Linked DNA regions of Caenorhabditis elegans. The protein of the gene in region 3 purifies or fractionates together with the protein of the main gene of each other region. This does not show direct contact. Each region holds a gene or a part of one and is shown on either strand. Other genes may lie near its edges. The genes, in order: dbd-8, cas-1, rme-1 and vet-1.

Region 1 (4,654 bases), on a different chromosome or scaffold from region 3:
ACATCCTTTTTCTTCACTGCTTCTCACCACAGGGATCCTCGGTTTCCGATCGAATAAACAGACGACACAGAGTGCTATGTGCATTGAGACGCGTGACAAGGCGGTGAATGACCCATTTAGCTTTCAGTTCGTTCACTGGTTTGTGAAACTGTTCATTTAATTCTTTCTTCCGAATCGCCTTACCCGTGGCCAATCAAAGCAGCGTGTCGAAATCTCGAAATCCAATCTTATAATAATTGGCCTTATCGTTTTTAGTTTCGCCTTCTTATACGCTAATAATTTCTCCAAGGCAGGTTTTTGTGTGTTGCCTTCACGCTTTCCCCGCCGACTATCCCGATTCACGGAGAGATCTCTAATTTCTGGAATTATGCAACAATAACATATGCGATGAATTGGCGGCAACGACGACGACGACGACGAAAAAAGAAGAAGCAGAAACGAAAAGGCAAAGAAGGAGGCGTGTTTCAATCCAAAAAGACACACACACACACACGGCTAAATGACATATAACATTGCGCAAAAAGCCGAGTCATACCATAGTTTTCTTCCCGATCCCCTCTTGCCATTTATTGCAGGAACATCTAGTTACCTACATTTTTCCTTCATTTTTTAGTAGAAATTACAAAGTTAGCATCTTTAGATATCTATAATTTCTCAATTTCTTTCTCATCTCATCTTACCAGGAAAGATTGTTAGAAACACTAGAGAATGTCTGGATTTGGAGCTTCTATCATGTCTAACGATACATTCGAAGTACCGAAAATCAGAATTTTCCTGAAATGTTTTGAAATGAAAAATCTCAATTTTGGCAGGCCTCAACAAAACTATTTCGAAAAACCAACAAGCTACAGTAACCCTGACAGCTAAGACCTCCAATTTAACTTCACCAAGATTCACCTTCTTAATAAATCCTCTAGATTCCAAGATATTCCGTGTTTGTGTATACACATCTTCAAGTATATCGTTATATTCCATACATACCACACAAAAATGATCAATCAGGGAGGCATCAGAATCAATCTGGATGACTCGGAACGAGTTTCTGGCTATTCTCTCTCTCGCTCGGTCATCTCCTATTCTCCTTTTTTTGGCGATTGATTCTATTTTGTCTTCGATTCCCTTGATTCCCTTCGGCGGGGGCTTCTCGTAGTCCTCAACAGGTTATCAATGCCATTCGAATATATCCTATTACAATCTCTTTTCCCCCCTTTCCGGATTCGGTAATTTTTTGAACTTCCGTTTGACGTGCAGAATGTGATAAGAAAATATACATATGTAATTTTGTAGATACTAGAACAGTATTGTAATTTCTAGTTGTGCTGTTACTACTAAATAGCACTTCCATGTAGAATGTTCTTTCTTATTCAAAAGTAACTGACTAATTCCCAAATAAATCCTTCCTGCCGTTCTCCAATATGTCGCAATACTAGCCTTCGATCATCCGTCTAAATCTCCTCTCGGATAATTAAAAAGTGTTTCGTCACCGTTTCGCCTTGTAGCTGTCCGTAGCTGGTGGTCAGTCGGGCGCGCACCTCAAGAAGAGAAGAAGCAAGAAAAAGAAGGGAGAGAGAGAGAGAATAAGCTTGCCCATAAGAAGCCGGTTATTCGACGCGATCGGCGTCATCGCGAACGAGGCGAGGCATCTCTATGTATGTGAGGAGGGGAGAGGCTAGTCGCCGACCTCAAGATGGTGAAGCAAACATAGACGACCGCTTCATCTTTATCCAATCCACAATGTTCGCTGTTTGTTCAACATTCCGCAGCCGCTTCTTCTCCGGACCCGCGCGCTCCGTTCCCAAAGCCATTTATCCGGGAATCGAGTAGATGTGTCGGGAGAGACACCGCAATGTAGATTTCCTCCGTTTCAATCGCCTTCAAATAACTTTCACCTCCTTCTGAATTCTTTTCACTTTATTTTCCCTTCGACCCTTTTGACCGAATCAACTTTTTGAAACGTTTCAGACCGATGGCAATGTCGGTTTCGACGATACGTGCCATTTGTATTTTGCTGCTTCTATCAACGTATACATTGGCAGATCTTCCGTCATGTGCTCGTGCCAAATGTGTTCATTGTGCAGTTGACTTCATCGATAGAATGTGTCCAACAGCTTGTGCTGGATGCAAGACACAGCAGCACCAATCTATTCAGGTAGGGATTTTGGGTTACATTTTGCTTGAATTCGAATTCTGACATTTCAGGAAGTAAATGTACAGAGACCACCTCAGCCACCACCAGCGTTCAATAATCAGCCACAGTTCGCACAATCAGTGAATACTCGCCAGATCTCAAACGAGGGAGGGCCACAGGTTCAGAGACCACAGGTGGGATTTTGAATTGAAAAAAAAATTTATTAAAAAGTATTTAGGTTCAGCACCAGCAACAATTCCAGCAACAGGTTCAGGCTCAACATCAACAACAACAGCCACAATTCAACATCCCACTGCAGCCACATGCTCAGCCAGTTCAATTCGCTGCTCCAAACTATCAAGGAAACCAGATCCCGTACCCACAAGCACAGGCTCCAGCTCAAATTCAAACCGCCACTCTTGCTCCACTAGTCGAGGCACCAAAGGTCGCATCTTTCGATCCAAACTTGAGCCGTCAACCAGCCGATTTGGCACAGCCACTTCCAGAATACCAAACCGGGCAAGTACAGTACCCACAACAAGCCGCTCAAATTCCATTCGGCCAACAGCCACAGCAAGGATATGGGCAACAAGTTGATAATATTTTCAACCAACCGAATCCATTCCAACTCCCGACTCCACAACAAGGACAAGGACTATTCGGAGCTCCAGGAGCCGCTGGAGCCGCTGGAGCACAATCACAATCGCAGGCTGCAGCTTTCAATCCATTCCAACAATTCTTGCAGCCAAATGCAGCACTCGATCCATTCAACCTTTTCAACTTGAACGCTAATCCATTGACTGTTAACCAGCAAGGCATCAGCACTCTTCAGACCCAGCAGCAGCAATACGGACAGGTACAGCATCAGGGAAATTACAACAGTCAAAATTATAACCAACAACAACCGCAGCAACCACAAATCCCGCAACTTCCACAACAACAGCAGCAGTACAATCAGCAATACAATCAGCAGTTCAACCCACCATATCAGCAGTTCCAACAACCACAACAGCAGCAGTACAACCAACAGCAGCAGCAGCAGACACCACAACAAAACCAATACAATCAACAGCAACAATACGGACAGCAGCCACAGCAGCCCCAACAACCACACCAACAGCAGTACCAGAATCAGAACAACTATCTGCCACAGCCGCAGCAACCACAACTCCCAGTTGCTCCACAACAACAGGTACAGCAGCAACGTCCACAGCAGCCACTACCACAGCCAGCCGCTGCAGCTTCAGTTGACTCTAGACCAGTCAACTTTGAGAAGTATATCGATGCAGGAAAGGGAACTCCACTTGCTCCACCACCACAGGTAAAATATTTCCGCAATTGTGATCAGCTTAATATTTGTTCATTCAGGCCCAATGTCCACGCCAACCAGGATGGCAGCCATGCATCACTAAGGACACCGCCAATGATCGATTCCGCAACTGCTGTTCTCGTCTCGGAGAGGGATGTGCTCCACTTTGTAACTACGATGCTACCCTTGCTACTGTATGTCTCTATAATGATTTTTTTGCTATCTAGAACTGTTTTCCATTTCAGATGCAACTCGCTGTTCTCACTGGACGCTGTCCATTGGCTAAGGTCGGAGACGTGATGATCTGCGCTTCGGGCTACCAAGACGCATCCCAGTGTTGCGAGGCTTACGGAGTCTTCGAGCCAGGATACGAGCACTGCCGTCCATACTGTAACCCATCGGCCGGTCTTCCAGAAGGCGGACTTCTTACCGAGAAGTACAAGTGTCTCGTCAAACTGTCACACATTCAACAATGCTTCTTCGTCTCGCAGAAGCCATAAGGTGTCAACGGGTGATCCATATGTATTGCAATTTAAACCACATCAATAATAATAATTTTTCTCTCTTCTCACTCATTCCCTCATCTACAACTTTCCTGAATTCGTGCAATAGATTTCAAAAATTCAATTCTAAAATGTGGCACAGTGTGCCATCACAATAAATGATTTTAAATATTAAGAGAAAGAAGCTTACATGTGCAAAACTCCAGCATTCGTCAAAATCGATAATCCTTTACTCGTCATTGTGAACGTTCCGATTATGGCGAAATGAAGCATCGAGTTGGTGTAGGAAAGGTTGCGAGCAGCAAAGTAGGCATTCGGATTGGATCTCTGAAATATATTACACATTTTATAAATATATTTTAATAAATGTCTTCTATATTTTTGCAATCCTACGGCACGATGTCGATGGACAATTTTTAAAATTGGATATGTTTCAAGTAAAAATCGATGAATTAATTGTTGCAAAACAACAAATTAATAAAAAATAACATAAAAAATAAGAAATATTTTGTTACGTTTGAATGTTAGATACAAAAATAATCCGCAAAAATAGTCTCAAACCAGCGATTTCAGCTTTAAAAAACTGTAAAATCCCGCTTGTCCGTGTGTAGTACAAAACGCTTTGTAAATCGACATGTAAAAATCCTGATTTTGTACTACACGTGGAAAGCCGAAAACTTATTTTCTTCTCGCATGATTCTACATGATTCTGGC
Region 2 (7,789 bases), on a different chromosome or scaffold from region 3:
TTGTACTTCTGATTCTGTAGAGTTGAAACATTCGCCATAACCAAAATCTTCATAATATTCTCTTTCTGTCACAAATTTAGTCGTCTCTTGTAAGTACGCTAACGGGTCTCCATAAACCTGGGACATGTACTCGGATGGGTCCCGAAGGTGTTGGTAGTTTTTCAGGTTTTGCATCCATGACATTCTATAACTTGATAGCGATAAAAAAAATAGCATTAGCAAACTGATACTCTAAGAAAAATGAAGGAGGGGTAGTCGCTGACGACAATGATCTTGCTCATGTCTTCACATGGTTCCATTACATTATAAATGTATAGAATAGTAGATTGTTTCATACTTGTAGAATGAGAAGAAAGCTGATGGTTTTGAGGCAAGATAAGATCCATGAAAGTGTGTTGAAATGTGCCTGGTGTTTGAGATGTTCTGGTGAGGGTGGAAATGTATTTGAACATTCTGGAATTTTTTTTACACTACATTCGGTGCAATTGTTCTACGATCACAAACCTTCAAACATGAATAACTATTTTTTGGAAGGGATCACTTTTATTCGACGAGACAGTAAAAAGTAATTTTTTCAATAAAAATAGTTGAGCACCAGTCAATGCATATACAAAACAAAATCGGTATTATTTAATAAAGCAAAGTGTGTCTCAATTGCTTATAAAGAATTGTAGACAGGGACAAATAAAAAAGTTCGAGGGGATAGTTCATGAAGTTGAAAAATAAGGTTATGACGTGAGAAGATTTAGCAAATGTCCGAGACGACAGTGACTAGCTTGCCATTGACAAAAGTTGTCTTGAACTGCTCCGGAACCGGGAACTCCGACTGAAAAGGAAATTTAGATTGGGTTCTACAATCCGAAAAACTTACATAATCCCCATCATCATTGGTTTGCACGGAGATGTTCATCTCACTGGATTTGGAAGTGACAATCTCGCATCCTTGAGCCACCTTTGACAAGTACACCTGGCATCCATCAGTCTTCTGGATTGAAAGAGTTGGGAGCTCTCCAAGGGTCTAAAAATTAATAACAATAATAGATTCAGTGAATTTCGAAGCATATAGTTGACTGAACTTTATTAGTAATTTGGAAGATTTTAACGATTAAAACCAAATATTTATTTTCACATTTTTTATTTAGAAACTAATTTTATGTTCAGACGGAAAAAAAATAGTATTGTATTTGAGCTTGTATTGAAGCTTGTACAACTAAAAGTCTTCTGATTACCTGAATTTGCACAGATTGGCAGTTGACAGTTTCGCACTGAGCCACAAGGGCATCAAACACAACAGACGTTTTCTTGCACCCGTCCAAAGTAATAGAATTGGCCTTTCCGTTGACCTTAATCACAGAATTCTCACAACGGTAGATATAGACAGTCTGCTTCTTATCGGCAACATCGAGAACAATGTTTGGATCGTTGACAAAGTACTCCTGTAAATAGTTTTTCATTGATAATGCTTATTGAATATGTTTTTCAAGTTGTTGAAACACTTACCACAATCCATTGTTTTCCGTTTTCCAGCTCCTTGTGTGGTGGCTTCCTTACTGGAGCAGCTGGTTTGGCAGGAGATGAGCCGCCCTGAGAAGCACCAGCGGCTGGCACAACAGCGGTTCCTCGGAGGTTTGGGTTCTTGTGAGTCTGCATATCGGCCGTGACCTTCTTCAGTCTAGAAGTAACTCCCTCTCCCTGGTTCAACGAAGCAAAGAGAGCATCACGGCTTGCCTTGTCAGCATCTACTGGTGGCGGAGCAATGTTGGCGAAGAAGTCGGCTGGTGGTGGTGGAGGTGGTGGGGGTGGTCCTCCTGGACCTGCTGGAGCTTTTGGAGCTGATGGAGCAGCGGCAGATGGAGCAGAGGCAGAAGCATCAGGGGCGGCTCCTGGAGCGCTGTTCCAGACTAGACCAGTAGTGTGAACTTGACGAACAAACTTCTGCATCTCTTCAAATACAGCCTTCCAAGCCTTGGTCCACTCAACGTGTCTTGGATCGGTCTCCTTGAACTCGCGGAGAATTGGGTTGATGTAGAATTGAGCAGCCTCAATGAACTCCTTCACGTATGGAGCTGGGGTTTTCTTCTGAAATTAGAAGCAGTTTAGAAAATATGTATGTTAAGATTATCGAATCTTGAGCACAGTAATATTTTATTTCAACTTTTGAATGTTAACATACCACGGTCACCCATCCAAGAGCCGGAAGTGCTTCAGCCACCGAATTGAGATGGTTCCAGTGAGGGGTCTTTCTCTTCGTGTCCTTGAAATTGTTGATTTCACCAAGCAAGTTAATAACTGGAGTGAGCATCTTCTGAGCTTCCTCGGCCGATGGCTCCGATTTTCCAGCAGCAGACCATAAATAGTTGCGCATACTGGCAAACATAGCCAACACTTTTGGCTTCTGAAATATTTGTTTTACGATGTTAAACTCTTATTCTATGTTGGGTAATTTGGATAAAGATAAGGAATTATAATAGATTAGTGCAATTTTTTATTTATTTTTGTTTTAATCAATACAAAACATCATTTGAACACTCACCACAGCAGCAAGATCGCCGCCGAGTTGATCTGTCAACTTGCTCCAATTGGCCAGTGGCTCCTCGATGGCATCATCGTAAGCACGAACATGAGCTGGGACTTCTCCAGAGTCACCGGCAGAAGCGGCAGCAGACGCTGAAAACATTAACTTTATTTTAATTAATTCAAAAGTATCGAACCGGTTTGCTTATTTCTAGAATTTTTAGTTTTGAATTTACAATTTACTAAGTTTTACCTTTATTCTGATCTATAAATACAACTTTCTTTGAAGAACTCCGATGAAGTGACGGATTTTTGATAAGAATCCCGTGCAAATTGTCGCCGTATAAGTTTCTGTGTCGTCCCGTTTTTTCATTGTCTCGTAGATACCTCGGAAGCGCACGACGTGCCATTTCCTCAATATCCAGATCACTGTCGTTATCGTTGTCGTAGTTCGAATTTGGTGAAAAAGTTGAAGTCGGTGAAAACGTTGGGTTTGAGTAGTGAGATGTTGGTTTCACCGAATGTACATTATTATTCCCGTTGCTATGCCCGTGACCATGTCCGAAATGAGGTTTGTTGTATGGCATCGGGTCGGATGGCATGTGAACATTGATATTCGGCTCAATGATAGCCACTGGTGGTTGAGACGAGTCACGTCGATTTCTCGAATCGAAATCATCGGTGTGACTATTATACGTGTGACGGTTACTCGTGAAGCCATTAATTACAGTTGGACCCGATCGATTAAACACTTTTGACTCAACTGGACTGAAAATTCGCTCTGGATTCTGATTTTGATTCTGCGCCTGTGGCGGATGATATGGTTGAGGGGCAACCTCACGAATTGGGGAAGTGAGTCTGGCGAAATCACGAAGTGGTGATTGAATCCTAGCACGTTGAGATTGTTGAATGGGCTGATGTGGCTGGGGATAATGGGGCTCTTCGGGCATTTGATGATGATGATATTGGTCTTGTACCTGCTGATGAGGATGAATCCGGAGTACACGATCATTTGTCAATTTTATTGGTTCATTAGGGAACGCTGCCGAATTACGATTCGACTCCAAATACTGACTGGTTGGCCGCTCTTTCTCTCGGAAATTTACCGCTGCTGCGGCTGGAACATTCTGGTAGACATTTGTTGTTGCTTCTTTCGGCGCTTGTGCCACTCGCCGGTCTTGATACCCGCCTGTTGATACTCTTGATGAATGATCTTCTTGGTTATAGTTGACTTGATTTATCGGGTTTGGGAACGAAAAAGGATTCGATTGTTGGGCATATGAGATGATTGGAGGCGATCTTACAGGGCTCGGATCTCGTTGTTGCATGAAATTGGACGAAGAGCGTTGATACCGAGGATTAGGCTGTTCCTGAGTCGGTTCATCGTTGTGATAGCTCCGAAAGTTGGGTTGCTCAGACACCAAGGAATTACCTCTAGGCTCACGATAAGTAGGCTCTAACCGAAAGCGTTCAAAATCCGAGTTCAAATTTGAATTGAGAGGTGCATTTCTGATAATGTAATCCTCCCGGAACGATTTTGGCGGTGGTGGGTCAGTCATCCAGTTTGGCTCAATCACTCGGTTTCGGAAAAATCCATCCAATCGATGACCTTGATTACCATTCGTGCTTGCCGTGTAGTTATTAATAGAATTATGAAGTTGACCAGAGCTATTATTATGACTATCAACAGTAGAATGATTGAGGAAGGTGTTACTTGGAGTATGATTTGAGGTGTTATTGAAATAAGTGTTGTTGAGAGAGTCAAACGACAAATCCGATTGGGTTTTTGCTAATCGTCTTGGCGGATGGTGATCCGATGAATTAGAATTATAGTGTTGTGGAGACGGAAGAGTGCCAAAATCTGTCTGACGAGACGACTGATCCCCTGCATACCAGCTCGAAGACATATTGTGTGCTTCGGCTTTCTGACGTTGCAGATTTCTCAAAAAATCTGTTTCTCGTTGGGAAGGCGACGGATGCGTCGGCTGCTTGTATGATTGGGGTGGTGGCACATTGTCATAACCTCGGGGTGGAGCATCTTGAAATGCTGGAACTGGACTTTGGACACTTCGATGACCGTACATACTTGCTGGTTGAGGATTGTTACAGTACTCACTGGCCACTGACAAAGGAGATAGCTCACGTGGAGAGAAGTTATTGTCGAATAGAGTAGAATTGCTTTCCGATCGTATTGGCCGACGAGATCTTGGAGGTTCTTCAGCTGTCCAATAATTAGTATTGCGGTCGACAGGGGATGTTGGAGAAACGGGCGAAACGCATGAGGATGGAAAATGTGGAAGGGTCGCTGACCGCTGGTCAATGACAACTTGTTGAGGGAACGACGACCAACTGCTTGACGGACGTAGTCCGCCTCCGAAACTTCTCAAATCTTGGGTACTATCGGTTACCGGTCTGTAGCCACGTGGATACTTGTTGAAGGGTCTGGGAGCCGAGTAATAAAGTGAATCCATAGTGGAAGTGGGGGGAGACGAGGAGAAATAAAATTGCAATGCAAAAAAAAAATGAAGAGAGTATGCTAGAACATTAAGGTGTTTGGGGATGAATGTGCGGATGAGAAATGGGTAAAAGAAGAAATATTGTTAAGATTCGAGGGCACAAGAAGAATGACGGCTGGTGGGTGAGTTGCCGGTGAGGGGAAAGCCTAGAAACAGGACGAGGACGCAGAGGTTAGACGGGTGAGGAAACACGGACGAGTAAAGGCTGAAGCACAAAAGCAACTGTTGAACGGGGCTCCCGGGTCCGCGTCGACTGAAGTGAAAAGATGGAAAGAGCATGCGAGCTGTTGAGAGACAAGTCCCCACCGGGATGAACAGAAAAATGACTTCCCTCTCACTCTCGCACACACTCGTTTGCTGTAAAACACTTTGCGAAGAGATGCGGATTGACGGTTCTTCTTCTGGCGCCAGAGGGAGGATAAGAATTGATAACTTGTGCACTGCAAGTCAAGCTGGCGTCCACAACACGAACTGGTCCAAGCAAGTACCATCGGACACGGGGGTTCAACCACATTAAATATGTGTGCTTCATTATCATTAGAACATCCGGTTATGTGAAGTGACGGCCTAGAAGTCAGCTATAGGAACACTTTCTAATGAGGTATAGACTTATTTTTAATAGAAGGTAGACAAGCATTGCCTGACAAAGTTGGCAGAAACAACATACTTTATAAAACTAAAGCTTATGATTTTAAAATTACCAAGCCAGTTTTTATTTGAAAAAAATGTCAAAAGCTTAGCAAAAAACAGACAGATATGTTTTGAAACCTCTACTGTGGAATTGCACGCTGCGGTTCTCAACTTCTCATCTTACTTTTTTCAAAACAAAAATATTGACAACCCGATTTTTCAGGTACACAAAATCTAGAAAGCTCCGAGGGACCAATGATCAGGTATTTTGACTAGCGGAAACAAATCTGTGAAGAGTGCGAACTATAGGGAGCTATTCTAATCTGTATAAAGATTACTATTATACATAAAAACTTGTAGATTACAAGGTTGTAGATTACTTTTTAGCAAATCCTAGAATTTTCGAAATTGAAATGCATTTCAGGGTCTATTCAGAAAATTCAAAGTGTACTAATTTCAGAATGATAGATTACTGCTGAGCACTGAGAATTTTTCAGTACACTATTATTATTATTGTGAAAAAAATCTTATTACTAATATTATTTCATTAATTGGTAGGCCGCAACGAGACAGACAAACAGGAAGCGGTAGCCAAACTGACGGTAGCTGTAAATGTCAACGGTCACAAAACTCACATATGATGCGAATAGGAATGTTCCTGACTCTACCCGCCGTAGAATATGCACCAGCAGCAGAAACAAATTCGTTTGTGACTTCCTGATAGGTCACGTGTAACTTCATGATAATACCAAAAGCGGGGGGTATAGATGTGGGAAGAAAGGCAGAATGAACACACACAAACACACACACCAACGTTTCCCATTTGTCGATGTTAGTCATAAGTTTTTGAGTAAACAGTTCGGTTTTTGATTATTTTATTCTTATTATTATAACACACTTTCTTCTCAGAGAAAGGTTGTCTGGTATTTGATCAATTAACTCACCACTTGGTCCGCCCAAATTGGTAGGCTTCGGAGCCAATGCTGGTTTCTGCCCGGCAATCGCTTCCAAACGGCTAGTCACGCTCTCGAGACGCTTCAAAAAATCCTCTTGTGTTGACATGTCCTGGAAATTGACATTATGAAATTTAAGAACAATTGTAATCAAAAATATGTAGAAAACCTTATCATTCGATGAGAAACAGAGCAAGTTCATAGTAAGAAAGAGCAGGTGAGAGAGACAGAATCGATAGGAACCGGCAAAAGTACGAGTTACTTATAATTCCTTCGAATACAGAGGTATCCGATTTCCGATGCATTTTAAATTCGCAAATTTGCCATTTCCGAGAGCAAGCGGAATGAGAGTAAAGGAGAATTTGTTCCATTTTTTGTTTGAAATTAATGAATTGGTAGTTTTTCTTTTCTTTTGGTTCAAAAAGCGAAAAATAACCGCGAACAAAGAAAAAAAATAAATGGCGGCCCGATTTCGCAATAATTTCAAAACATCGAACAGAGAAAAGGCGATTGTCAGCAGAAAACAAGAGGAAAATGAATGGAAATCATAAAGAAATTGAGAAAAAAGTGATGAGTCACCGGGATGTGTTGCGCGGACCGCCTTGCACAGTAAATGACAACTGCCGCCATCTTCCGTTCTCATTAGAGCGCGCTTGCTGTACACCTCCCGCCGATCCGTTCCGTTGCGCAGTGTAAACAAAGATGGGATGCGAATTGGTAGAAAATGTGATGGATTTTGGGAGAGATTTTCTAGAAAACTGTAAAAAAATTCTGGTCTTTTGGAAACTTTTGGAATTGGAAACATTTAATTTAAAAGTTTGGGAAAATTAAATGATATTTTAAATTTCAATGTTCAAATTGGACGGGCTCTCATGAAACTTTCGAAAAACTAAATGACGTATACGAATGTTTACTTATTTATCCAAAATACAATTTTTGTATAATGTCTACAAATTTTAACATTATCTCATGATTGTTATAGTGGTACTTTTTAAAATCAGATTGAAAATTCACCAATCATGATAGCATTAATTTCAAAAAAATTGGCAACACGTCTTGCTCATTTTTATTATTAACTGGATTTAAAATAAAATGAAAACACGTGATAAAAAAGGAGCACGCTTTGAAAAATACAAATTTGTCCAAATTCGCTGGTAAATGTGAAAAAATGCAATG
Region 3 (7,955 bases):
GAATTTGCTAAAGTCCTGTGTTTGAAGCTTCTCTCTCATCTTGTTCACATCTGGGAAGTCTCCTGGAGATATATTGTGTTCTCTCTGGAGTTGCTCGTAGATCTTGTCAAGATTTTGGATCAAATCCTTCTTCTTCTTATCCTTTCCGATCATCGATGGCATTTGCTTACGAAGCTCAGCAATAATGTATGCGTGAACCTTGGCGAGACGAGCTCTCTTGATCAGATCGTTCAACTTTCGGAGAGCAGCGTTACGTGGCAATGCTTGAAGATCTTGGAACAGGTCGTGCTGCTCGTCTTGGAAAAGTCGACGATTGAGATCGTAGTGAAGTGGATGATCCCAGAATGATCCCAAATAGACACGTGAAACTTCTGGAGTTTTGAATACTTTTCCCAGTGACCACATCAGAGCTCCGTAGACTCTCATCAACTGTTGATGATCAACCATGTCTGACTTGTTGAGAACAATTCGTATTTTATCCTCGTTTCCAGCCAATGCTTCAATACATCTCTTGAACTCATCGGAAATGTCAAGCTTGTGAGCATCGAAAAGAAGAATGATACGATCGACACGTTCAGCGAACCACTCTAAAACTCCAGTGAAATCATATCCGCGATCGATTCTGGAATAAAAAAGTATTTTTATTTTTGCATCGTGGAAATTCGATCCAACAAGCATTCGTTTTTGTAAACAAATAAGTTATTGGAGCTTCATCAAATGGGGACAACTCCTTGAAAGTAGTGTTCCGATTATTTAAAAATTAAAACAAACCTTTGCTTTTCTCCGGATAAGATTCCAGGTGTATCAACGATCGTTACACTTTCGAGAACTTGATTTGGAAGAGTCGAGCACTGGAATCGATTCAAAAATGCGTTTCCGAATCCTGACAGAGCACGGAACTGCTTCTTTGCGTCAACAACAAGAGCATTTCCAGGAATGCTTCCTTCTTCATCACCATGCATCACAGCAATGAATCTGTCGGTGGTTGGCTCTGGACCGATTCGGATTCCTGGGAAATCGGACTCGAGGAGGTAACGGATGAAAGTCGTTTTTCCGGTCGAATATTGCCCGACGAGCAGGATCATTGGTTTGGCATCGAAATCCGGATCATCTGAAAAGAAGGAACGTTATTTTGAAAATATAAATATGCTAAATAATTTCAAATTACCGAGAGCTGGGCTGTGAAAGTCGTGAAACTTGTGGAATTCTTCAAGAGGCAGGAGTTTCTGCTTGTAAATCTTGCGGAGACCTTCGGAAACCGTCTCCAAAACTTCCTTGTTCTTCTTTTTTGACGAATCACCACCAAGCCACGAAAACATACTTCTCGTCTTCTTTTTCTTTTGTCCTTCTTCTGAAAACTGATAAAATTAAGAATAAATCATGAGATTTTGATTAAAACTAATGTTAAATTTATTTATTTAAAATTTACCAAGATGTTGAGGAGGTGAGAATTGGCGGAAAATTGAACGGAACATGTGAGATATTTCAAGAAATTAAGGAAATTTCGCGGGAGGAAAACAAAAACAAGCGAGTAACAAAATGTGTTTCGTATATGCGTCTTAAGGTTACTGTAGAAAGTAAAGTTGCAGGCCTAGACTTACTCTCATCCATTTTTCGTTTTTTGTTATAAAAAGTTATTTTTAATATTAAAAATAGTTTTTGTTTGAGAAAAATAAAATGAATCGAGATCTGACGTAAATTTTCAACAGAAATTCGATTTCCGTGGTGGTGGTGAATAAATATGTACAGCTGGAATTGAAAAACTAAAAAAAAAAACACAGTAAACGACATTACTTTAACAAAAAAAAAACGAAGATTCTCAATATTTTGGTTAGAAAACCTAATAAATTCTGAATTTTAAATTGATGTAACACTGAAAAAAAAAAGAAGTTATCTACAGAAAAATACCGAGCTTGAAGTGATACAAGTTTCGTCATCCTAAGTTCGAAAAAACTGAAAATTCTTCTAGATTTTCCGGCCAATTTATAGAATGACTAAATTCAGAATCCCCCAGTGAGACCCAAAGAAATCGAAATTGCGAAATAGGGGCTCTATTCTCGTGTTGAACTGAAACCAAGTGAGTCATCATAGCCGCCAGCCAACAATCAGGCGGTGTGAGAGAGTGGGACTTTCACGAAATGTGGTAAGAGACGCAGATACTGACAGACGACTAGTGTGTTCATTCACTGTGTGAACAGAGATGTAGGCGAATGGACACAGAGAGGGCAGAGATGACGTGGCGGCCTATTGATGATGATGCACTAACTGGGAGGAGGATCGTAAAACAAACAGGAAATATCAATAGAAAATTAGAACATTTAGAACATCAATTAGAGACCGTCAATTGGTTTTGAAATTAGATGGGTTGAGAAAATTTATGTTAATTGAGTGATTAGAATGCTAAAGATCATTAGGAACTGGTCAATGTAGTATCAGAAGCTTGAGACTGAAGTCATATTCTTTGAGGAATGTTTTATTCATCTTAAAAGGCTCATGAATTATATGAAATCGGGAACACAGTACAATCATCTGGTCACATCAATAGTTGACGTTCTATACATGACAAATTGCCGAGAGAGCGTAAAAATCAAGAATCACAGAAAAAGAGGAAAAATTAGAAATGGATCAGGTAGTCGAATCGAGAAAATAGATCGACCGACAGACTGCGCAAAAGCCAGACAAGAGAGTCTAAGGACCAAGTAGACCGCAGACGAAAAAGTCAAAATAATACGCGAACTGACCACCATCACCCACCGGCCGAACTGCAAAGATCTTATGGGGAAAAAAAGAGAACACACACAAAAAAAGCATTGTCGGAATTGCTTGCTGTGAATGGTTTTTGTTGGAAAACCAGCGCATATATCAAATGGTCGCAGTGTAAATATGAAACCACAATATTTGCTTGGAATTTCATGGAACTGATGAATAAGTAGGACAAATTGTGTTAGATTTAGTCAAATTAAATTGAAATTAGTAACTAAATATAATTAAAATATGCAATCAATAGAATGACGTATAGTAGTATTCTGCGTTCCAACTAGAAATCGACATAAAAATATTTTGTTGTAAAATCACGAGGTTGCTTGAGAAATAACATAATACAATTTCAACACAATAACAATTCAATTGCTCTAACTACAATATTTTCTGTATAATCGGTGTCCTGTTCCACTAGATAGAAAATTGAAAAGGTAAAAGTTGTGTTGAACTAATTCAACTTTTCATGTTTGGAGTGTGAATCGTAACTGAAATTCCGAAAAACTATCTAACAATAAGTCAAAAACTTTAAAGAAAATCACCCGGAAATAACAAACTTCAAATGCATTACCTATAGGTATACAGTAGTCAAAATCAAAAACTAAACCACTATCAATCAAGAGACCCAACTCAAAAATTCTTTGGAAGAAATAAAATTGAAAGCAGGCCGGAAGAGAAAAGTTTAGTTTGAGTTTATATAACGTGAATGCTCTCGCTTTCTCTTTCAACGGAGCACTGAACTCTAGCAACTGCTTGTGCACTATCGATTCCACAGGGGTCATGCATCAAGAAAAATGAGACAACCGCAAGCGGACGATGTTTGAGACGATTTGGTAGAAGGAGGAAAGAATTGAATCAAAATAAAGTAACCGATTTGTTATTTCATTGAATTGTTCGAGTAGGGGGATGGAAGAAACGAAAAGAAGAGAAAAAAGAAGAAAAGAAAAAGAAAGATGCGATGATTGCGGCATGATGATTAGCTCGTTAGACCGTGTGAATTTTTCAAAAAATGGAGAATTTATCAAAATTTCAAAATATAAATAGAACGTTGGAGCTAGAAAGCTTGAAATGTTTGAAAAAAATACACCATATAGAACCTGGAAACCATGTTTCGTTTGCCTTTTGAACGAGAATATGAGATGATTTACAAGAAAATTTTCAAGAAATTCAAGCTTTCAAGCGTTTGATTAATATCTCGTGAAATTGAGGTGAAATTGAAAATCATATAATGTCAAATACAAAAAATATAAACTTGAAGGTAGAGCTAAAAATAATTTTTGATTTTCTCGTTCTTTTATCAGAAACTTCTGGATTTGAAAGCCATAACTAGATTATCAAAATATAACGCGATTGAAAAGTCTGCCGTTTCACAACCTAAAAACCTTACCTTGATCATCAATTTTATAACTTTTCCAAAAAACTCGGACGCTATCCATTTAGGTGTTAGAGTTTCTAAAAATGATCATTTTCTGTTCATACTTACCAAAAAGATTACTCATTTCGAAATGCCCGAAAAAATAGAACAGATACCGATCAGTTGGTCACGTCAAAATTCTTGTAATACTTATAAAAGTTTTGTTCTCGCGCTATGACGGGCGGTCTTGTCTCTTTTGCCTCTCAACGGAGCAAACATAAAACAGTTTGCACACAATTATTTACAAGTTAGCAGAGCACATGGTGTTCCAGTACTGGGAGGATGTGAAAGAAAAGTTGTATAGCGAGAGTATGAAAATGCGTTGATTGGCACTGACCAAATGTTTATCAGTGTGACCTGTCAACGAATGATGCTCACAATGATAAAGAATAATGCAAAGTGCAGCTCTTTAAGCAAAAAGGTTTGAAGTTCCATTTGTCAGGAATTTTTTCAATCAATGGAAAATCGAACTGTGTGGGAAGAATAGCAAGTGTCTGCAGGATAGAAACTCCAAATAGAAAAGGAATGGCATTGGGAAATGCTTTTGAAAAGCGTTCTTTCGTTTTCCAGAATGAAAACAAAGAAAAGTGATGCAATGGTTTTTTGATATGCACTGTCATCTTCAGATTCAGAAAAAAACCTCTGCCTATATAATCTGTCAAAGTCAAATAGTGGGGTGCAATACTAATAGGGAAAGGTTGTTTTAAACTTTCGAACTGCGATCGCAGATCGACATTGGGATTTGGCAGGAAAAATACTAAATTTGATAGCCACATTACTCCAACTAGTTGTTTAAAAAAGTGCAGAAAAGTAGACGCATAAAACATTATATGAACAAAAATCTACAAATCTACCTCTAACCGGCTCCATATACTTTGCAAGTTTAGGTGATGCTTTTGGGGTCATCATAGATGCCCTTGCAATCGAAAGCCGCCTGATTGGCCTGTCAGCAGCAACTGGAACTTGCTGCTGAGCTCTCATTTTTGGAACCGGAGTTTCTTCTTCTTTGAGGCCTGAGATCTTAACTTCTTCGATCACTTCCTTCTTTACTTCAGTAATTTCTACGGAAGTATTGACGACTTCAATTTCTTCTTCAACTGTTTCAGGAACTTTCTCAAGTTCAGAGATTTCTTCTTCTTGGTGGATTTCTTTTTTAGAAGTTTCCGGAGTTTCCGATTCTACTGGAACTTGTGCCGGTTCTTTATGTTCTTCAACAACTCTCCCTAGATCTTCGTCTTTTTCGACTTCACTTCTTTCTGATAAATCTTCAGTCTCTGCGTTCAGCTCCTCAAAACTGGAACTTGATACCGATCCGGAAATCTGAAAATCGTTACAATTTATTTAAAGTGGTGAAAAAAAAATCCTAAAAGTGCACAGTACAAATTTCTTGCTACTGCTTCATTTTGGTGGAAGCCGACCTTTTGCAAAAACGCAAAATTAAAACCAAATGTGACAGGGTTGGAGAGAAAATGTAAACATTATGAAAATTTGTGTATACCAAAAATAAATTAATCAAAAGTAAAACGAAATACCCACCTCATTTTTTGAATTGACACCTTCCAATGACGCTACATTCTGCTCATCAAAGACCGAATCGATTTTCTTCATTTGCCCTTCTATTCTGTCGGTTTGTGTTGCCTCCTGCTCTTCTTTCGTGGAGCTATTAATGACAATGACGGGTGGCGCGGGTGCCTCGTTTATTTTGTGTTCTTCACTATTCACAGACTCCATCGATACTTTTGTTGTAAGAGGAATAGGAAATGATCCAGTAAAAAGTCGATGAAATGTTCCAAGTTTCGAGGCAAAAAACTGTCAAGAAGAGAAGCGAGGCGGAGACAAGTTTCGCACACTTTTTTTGTTATCAATTTTTATTTCGCGACAATTCACTTTGCAAAGAAAAAAAAGCATAAGGAGAACAATGATAACAGGAGGAAACATTCCAGAACATGATGAAATACAAATAGAATTAAAAATAGGAAATGACTCACCAATTTCACCTCCGAATGGGTTTGTTGAAGAGAATCTCTCAGAAGTTTTTTCAAAGGGATTGGTGCTTTTCTTACGGAATATAACCAGAGTTTTATCGATATCTTCGTCTGTTACTGTTGGTCGACAAAGTTGACATCCCATAGGTTTTGAGTGGAGTCAAAAATTAATAGATCATTTAAAGGTAAGCGGGAGAATATTCAATTTGAAAAGAGCTGATTTTCTGATGAAATAGGATGTAACAAGTGTGAGAAGAGAGATTCAATAGAGATTATGATTCACATTGAATGAAAAATGTTAATTTAGATGACCAAAGATTAGAATGTAAAGCTGAAAAACAACATTTTTAAAAGTTGATTATAAAACGATGTGTAAATTTTTTGTTGTGCTTAAGCAATACACATAAAAAGTTGTGCAACGTGGCCTAATAAAAAATCACAAAAAATGATATGAATTAATTAAATCAGGTGAATTCAGGAATTTTTTGTGCCAAGGTTGAATGTTCGAGGTGAATTTTATCACCCAAAGAATTATATCCAAAAGTGGTACACTTGAAAACTTTAATGAGCTCTACGAGTAATTATATATGTAGTTCAAAAATATTCGTTTCAAATGCACAGAAATGGGCACATTTGTGAGCGAACATTGAATTGAGTGGATGCGCAAACATACGATGTTTTCTTTCTTTCTGATAAACCAAGAAGAATCAATCCAAAACTTAATCATTATAAAATTAATACAAAAACAATTAACCAAAATATTGTTAAAAATAAATAAAATATTGCTACAAACTATAAGAAATCCAACAATTTTGATATCCCCGTCGACAAAACGGTCAATGTTTGAACATAAATGTGGCTGCCTTCCGAAAAGCGGCACACAAACGAACAAAACAAAAATCGATGCGGATTCCCATATTTCGTATACATTTTTCCCAATATTATGGACAAAATCATAGTTGCGTAGGTGTTAAAATTCAGAAAAAACTCTATTATCAAAACTCTTTCAATTATTTTCAAACAAAATTAGAGCTTCAAAAATTTTGCACAGCTACGTCATTTCTCACCTTCATAATCTGGATAGAACGTAATTTCATTTCGATTAGCTCGTGGAACAGTACGGAAAAAATTATACATTTTATACAATAATGACAGTCGTGAATGGAAACTTTTGAAGGTTTTAACTTCGTTTTTTCAGTAGATGATAGTGTCAATTGTACGCTGTTTATGTAAATCCTATTGACGTAATATTGGATTTTTTCAATGCATTGATCAATTGTGTTTCATTCAATATTCCCGTAGAATGGCTCTATGATTCAATCAAATAATTTCGAGTTTACGGTTTTTTTGACAGTTTCTTCTAAAAGAATTCCAGATTATTTCCCCACCTTACACAAGAAAATAAATCCTAACCTGAAACTTCGACAGATTTATGAAAAATGATGGATGTATGAAACAAGTAAATCAACAATAATTTATTTACATTTATGTATCTCGCTACAAATTTATTTTGAAAAAAACAGATTAAAAACATGCATAATTTATGCTTTCACTCCTTCGAATGTGATCACATTTGGAATTGCGACACCTCGAGATGCTTGAATTTTCAAAAGTTCGGCGAATTCTTCAACTGCTTTTCCAAATCTTTTCACAGTATCTTCATCACTGAAGTCACTGAGTCCGTAAGTGACATCATTGTTTGCTTCTTTCAGCGAGTTCCGTCCCATTTGTTCAATTTGAGTGTTGCTCGCAAGAAGTGAGAGGACAAATTCACTTTGATCAATTGCATCGAAGACAGC
Region 4 (3,382 bases), on a different chromosome or scaffold from region 3:
GTTGCAAAACATTTTCTAGGTCTGAACTGTCTTCTAATGGTATATTTGAACTCACACTCACGTATTTTATTTTATGGAATTGATTTCAAAGACACTAATCACGGTATACAAGCAGAGCATAGGTCAACATCATTAACCATTGTTGTCATTTCTTATCTAATCAGTTTTAGTTTTTCATGCAAAAATGATATTTGCACTTTTTCGCTACATCATCGACTTTTACAGATTCTAGAGTACTCTCTCAAAAAACTCATCTCGATTTCACTCAAAAAAGAACATGGAAGATGAAACCACAATTGTTGGAAATATTGTAATAGCTTTCACTAATCTACCACCTTCAGCACGTACTTTTCAAATTCCTCTTGAATTTGATTGATTTTTCCAACAGTTTTTATCGCTAGTCGTGTGTTTTACTTTTCATGTTGTGTTTCGATGTGAAGTTCTCTGATTCTGCCTGTTATTTAAAATTGATAGTAAACTTTTCGTACACCTGTTTGGTTATAAAAATCCACGTTAAAAAGTGATTCCGATATTTAATGAAACATTTATTGAATAATTAAGAGAGTAACATTTTAAGATGGATTGAAAGAATGCCGAGGCGTTGAAAAATTAAGCCGTATTGTTTCGTATTACAACAAACGAAAAAGTGCAATGGAAATGGTAAAGTAAAAGCAATAGTATCAAATCGAAAAAATGCTAAAAAAGCGATAGTAGCTAAAAGAAGAAAAATTAACACGGAAAAAGTAATTGGGTGATATTAAATTATTGATAATTGGTTACTTCTCCGGTTTCATCAAAATCTTCTTCATTTTGGAGTGTTTCCTTGATAGCAGACAATCGTTTCTTAGCAGATGCCAGATGTTCTTTCATTTTAGGTGAAGTTGTCTGAGAAGAGACACGTTCCTCGTAGAACTTTGTGCACAATCTTTGGAACTTCAAGTTGAACTGTTCGAACTCTTTTTGAGATTCTTCATATTTCGACAAGGCTTCGGATTTCATTTTCTTGGTCTCTTCAAGTTCATGTTTCAAAGCTTTGGTTCCATTTTTCATTTCATCAAGTTCCTTAGAGGTGTCGTTGTTTTCAGATTTCAATGTAAGAATATCACTTCTCAGACACAAAATTCTGACTTCTCTTTCATTGATTTCATGTACCAATACATCTTTCTCTTGTTTCAATTGTTGAGCTTCTTTGAAATATCTCTCTCTCGAATCCTTTTCCATATTCAATTCATATCTCACTCCCATACAAATGGCCGATTGTCTTTTGATAAATTCGTTCAAATTTTTCTCAACTTCAGTCATTCTTTCCTTGTATTCTTCAAAGTTCTTTTTGATTCTCTTCAATTCCATTTCTTGTTTCATCAATGTCATTTTGTTCACATTGATCTTCTTCTCATCATAGAATTCTTCACAAGCCTCGATAAAAGCATCCTTTTCATGAAGACGTTCTTTCAATTTTTCCAATGACTTTTGATGTTCTCCATTCAAATCTTCAACCTTCTTTTCCAAATTATTGATTATTGTGTAGAGACGATTGAGTTCCGAATCATGGCACTTCGCTTCCCCTTTCAGATCAGAGATCTCAAGTCGAGAATTGGCAAGCTCTCGTCGTCTGAAATTGAACATATTAAGAATGGGTTAGTACAATATAATCTATATAACAGGTTGCACGTTGTCCTAGAGTTCAAACAACTTACGTTTTCTGATGATCAAATCGTTCGTCATCCAATTTCATTTGAAGAAGTGCGATCTCCGATTTCAACTTGGACTCGGTGGGAGTGAAGAATGGATTTTCAGCAAACATAGTTTCAGTTCTGAAAAATATTTAATTGAAAAGAAACGTTTAGTGAAACTGCAGTAGAAAATACTAGAGCAAATAAATAAATGAAAAAAGGAAAGATGCACCTTTTGAGAATGTTAGGTGAGAATGAGTAATTGGATCGAAAAAACAGTGAGAGAGAACGATGGTGAGAATTTACAGCGTCCAAATATGGATCGATATTCACAATTTTGGAAAAGCGTTGCATTGTATGGTGATCTTCTGTCGAAGAACATAATATATTGATTGGATCGAGAGAAGTCATTCAGAATGTAGTTGACTCCAAATCTATGGCTATACTAAAATGGGCATTTTGTAAACGTTGAAAGAAACTAAATTTCCAATTCCAATTAATCTAGCTCCCACTATTGTTAATTCAGTACCATCGATACAAATCTCGCAGGTTTTATCAATCTTTCATCCCACTCAAACCTTAAGAAAGAAAAAAATGTTAACATTCAAAGATGTAAAAAAATTTTATCACTTTCAAGTTTCAAAAATTAATTTTGGCTATAAATATGCTATTCCAGTTTTTAATTGAAAATCTAGCAGTCTCGAAGGCCATATAAGCTATTTAAAATCAGATATACGTGCAATACGATCAGGAAAAATCCGGTACATGAAAAACCAAAGTAATACTTTTTTACACTATTTTATTTACACTAGAAATGTCAGTATTCTGAAATAGAGGGCTCTATTCTCTTTTCGTCTTCGGTTGAAGATTTTTTAAAGGAATTAATACAAATACACAATTACTTACTAGGACTGCAACTGGGATATCTCAGAAAATTAAAACAATCAAAATAAGAACAAAAAAATAAACGTACCGAATGGGACCTGGATAAAATGAGAAGAATGAATTGAGAACAACATGAATGAGAGTGAATGTTAGGTAGTTCATTACAGCGTCTGGATTTGGATCGATATCCAGAAAGGCTCTATGAGATCGTCTGCTTATTGTCTCCCTCTCCCTGAAACGGCAGATTGAGAAGGTACCAAAATATAAGGTCACAAAAACTGGTACCCTAGATTTATAGAACCATGAAATAGCTAATGGAAGTTAAGTTTATATGTATGGGGCTCTTCAAACTAGGATTTAAAAAGAGACAAAGGAAAGACTGAATTGAAGTATTAAAAACGTAATATATTTATTTGGCGGTCGCAGCGTCCGAACATGAATTGATATCCAGATTAAATCCGTTTTATTGTCAACTGTGGCACCTCTTTATCCTTAAAGTGAAAATTAAAATCCATAAAATGTACTCTAGACTGACGATGACACTCGGCTGAAATTTAATTATTTTAAATCGTTCACTTAAGTAGCTTCATTGATCTATTGAAACCAAAAATACAAACGAAATCCCACCAATATTTGTTGTAATTCCTAAATACAGAAGTTATTCAGACATTTGCCAATATTACCAACACTTCCATTTGATTTACCCTAGTTTTCAACACACAAATACTTGCATGTTGTTCTTAAATTTTTTTTTCTTTCTTAAGAAATAAAAAGAATATGATTTCAAAATGTGGCATGCAAATCTGACTATCAGACAATTGATA

Evidence for each region.
Region 1: the proteins of rme-1 (region 3) and dbd-8 purify together in Caenorhabditis elegans (affinity purification with western blotting, with the first as the bait; one study listed by BioGRID). This does not show direct contact.
Region 2: the proteins of rme-1 (region 3) and cas-1 purify together in Caenorhabditis elegans (affinity purification with western blotting, with the first as the bait; one study listed by BioGRID). This does not show direct contact.
Region 4: the proteins of rme-1 (region 3) and vet-1 purify together in Caenorhabditis elegans (affinity purification with western blotting, with the first as the bait; one study listed by BioGRID). This does not show direct contact.

What each region holds. Positions count from the first base shown.
Region 1 is NC_003280.10:13,106,057-13,110,710, forward strand, and holds dbd-8 (DB domain-containing protein), read left to right. Parts: upstream 1-1,962; 5' UTR 1,963-1,966; coding exon 1,967-2,149; intron 2,150-2,199; coding exon 2,200-2,322; intron 2,323-2,366; coding exon 2,367-3,449; intron 3,450-3,496; coding exon 3,497-3,631; intron 3,632-3,682; coding exon 3,683-3,937; 3' UTR 3,938-4,113; downstream 4,114-4,654. Other genes in the region: rict-1 (RICTOR_N domain-containing protein), read right to left, coding at 4,131-4,267.
Region 2 is NC_003284.9:16,806,932-16,814,720, forward strand, and holds cas-1 (C-CAP/cofactor C-like domain-containing protein), read right to left. Parts: upstream 5,778-7,789; 5' UTR 4,986-5,777; coding exon 2,768-4,985; intron 2,668-2,767; coding exon 2,534-2,667; intron 2,396-2,533; coding exon 2,174-2,395; intron 2,080-2,173; coding exon 1,501-2,079; intron 1,437-1,500; coding exon 1,230-1,436; intron 1,019-1,229; coding exon 872-1,018; intron 827-871; coding exon 746-826; 3' UTR 524-745; downstream 1-523. Other genes in the region: Degenerin mec-4, read right to left, coding at 1-183.
Region 3 is NC_003283.11:6,208,223-6,216,177, reverse strand, and holds the start of rme-1 (Dynamin-type G domain-containing protein), read right to left. Parts: upstream 6,011-7,955; 5' UTR 5,903-6,010; coding exon 5,708-5,902; intron 5,492-5,707; coding exon 5,026-5,491; intron 4,257-5,025; coding exon of another isoform or gene 4,241-4,256; intron 2,463-4,240; exon of another isoform or gene 2,247-2,462; intron 1,361-2,246; exon of another isoform or gene 1,352-1,360; coding exon 1,169-1,351; intron 1,112-1,168; coding exon 772-1,111; intron 623-771; coding exon 1-622. Other genes in the region: W06H8.2 (NADH:flavin oxidoreductase/NADH oxidase N-terminal domain-containing protein), read right to left, coding at 7,698-7,955.
Region 4 is NC_003279.8:6,200,263-6,203,644, forward strand, and holds vet-1 (Very Early Transcript), read right to left. Parts: upstream 1,815-3,382; 5' UTR 1,805-1,814; coding exon 1,698-1,804; intron 1,613-1,697; coding exon 763-1,612; 3' UTR 536-762; downstream 1-535.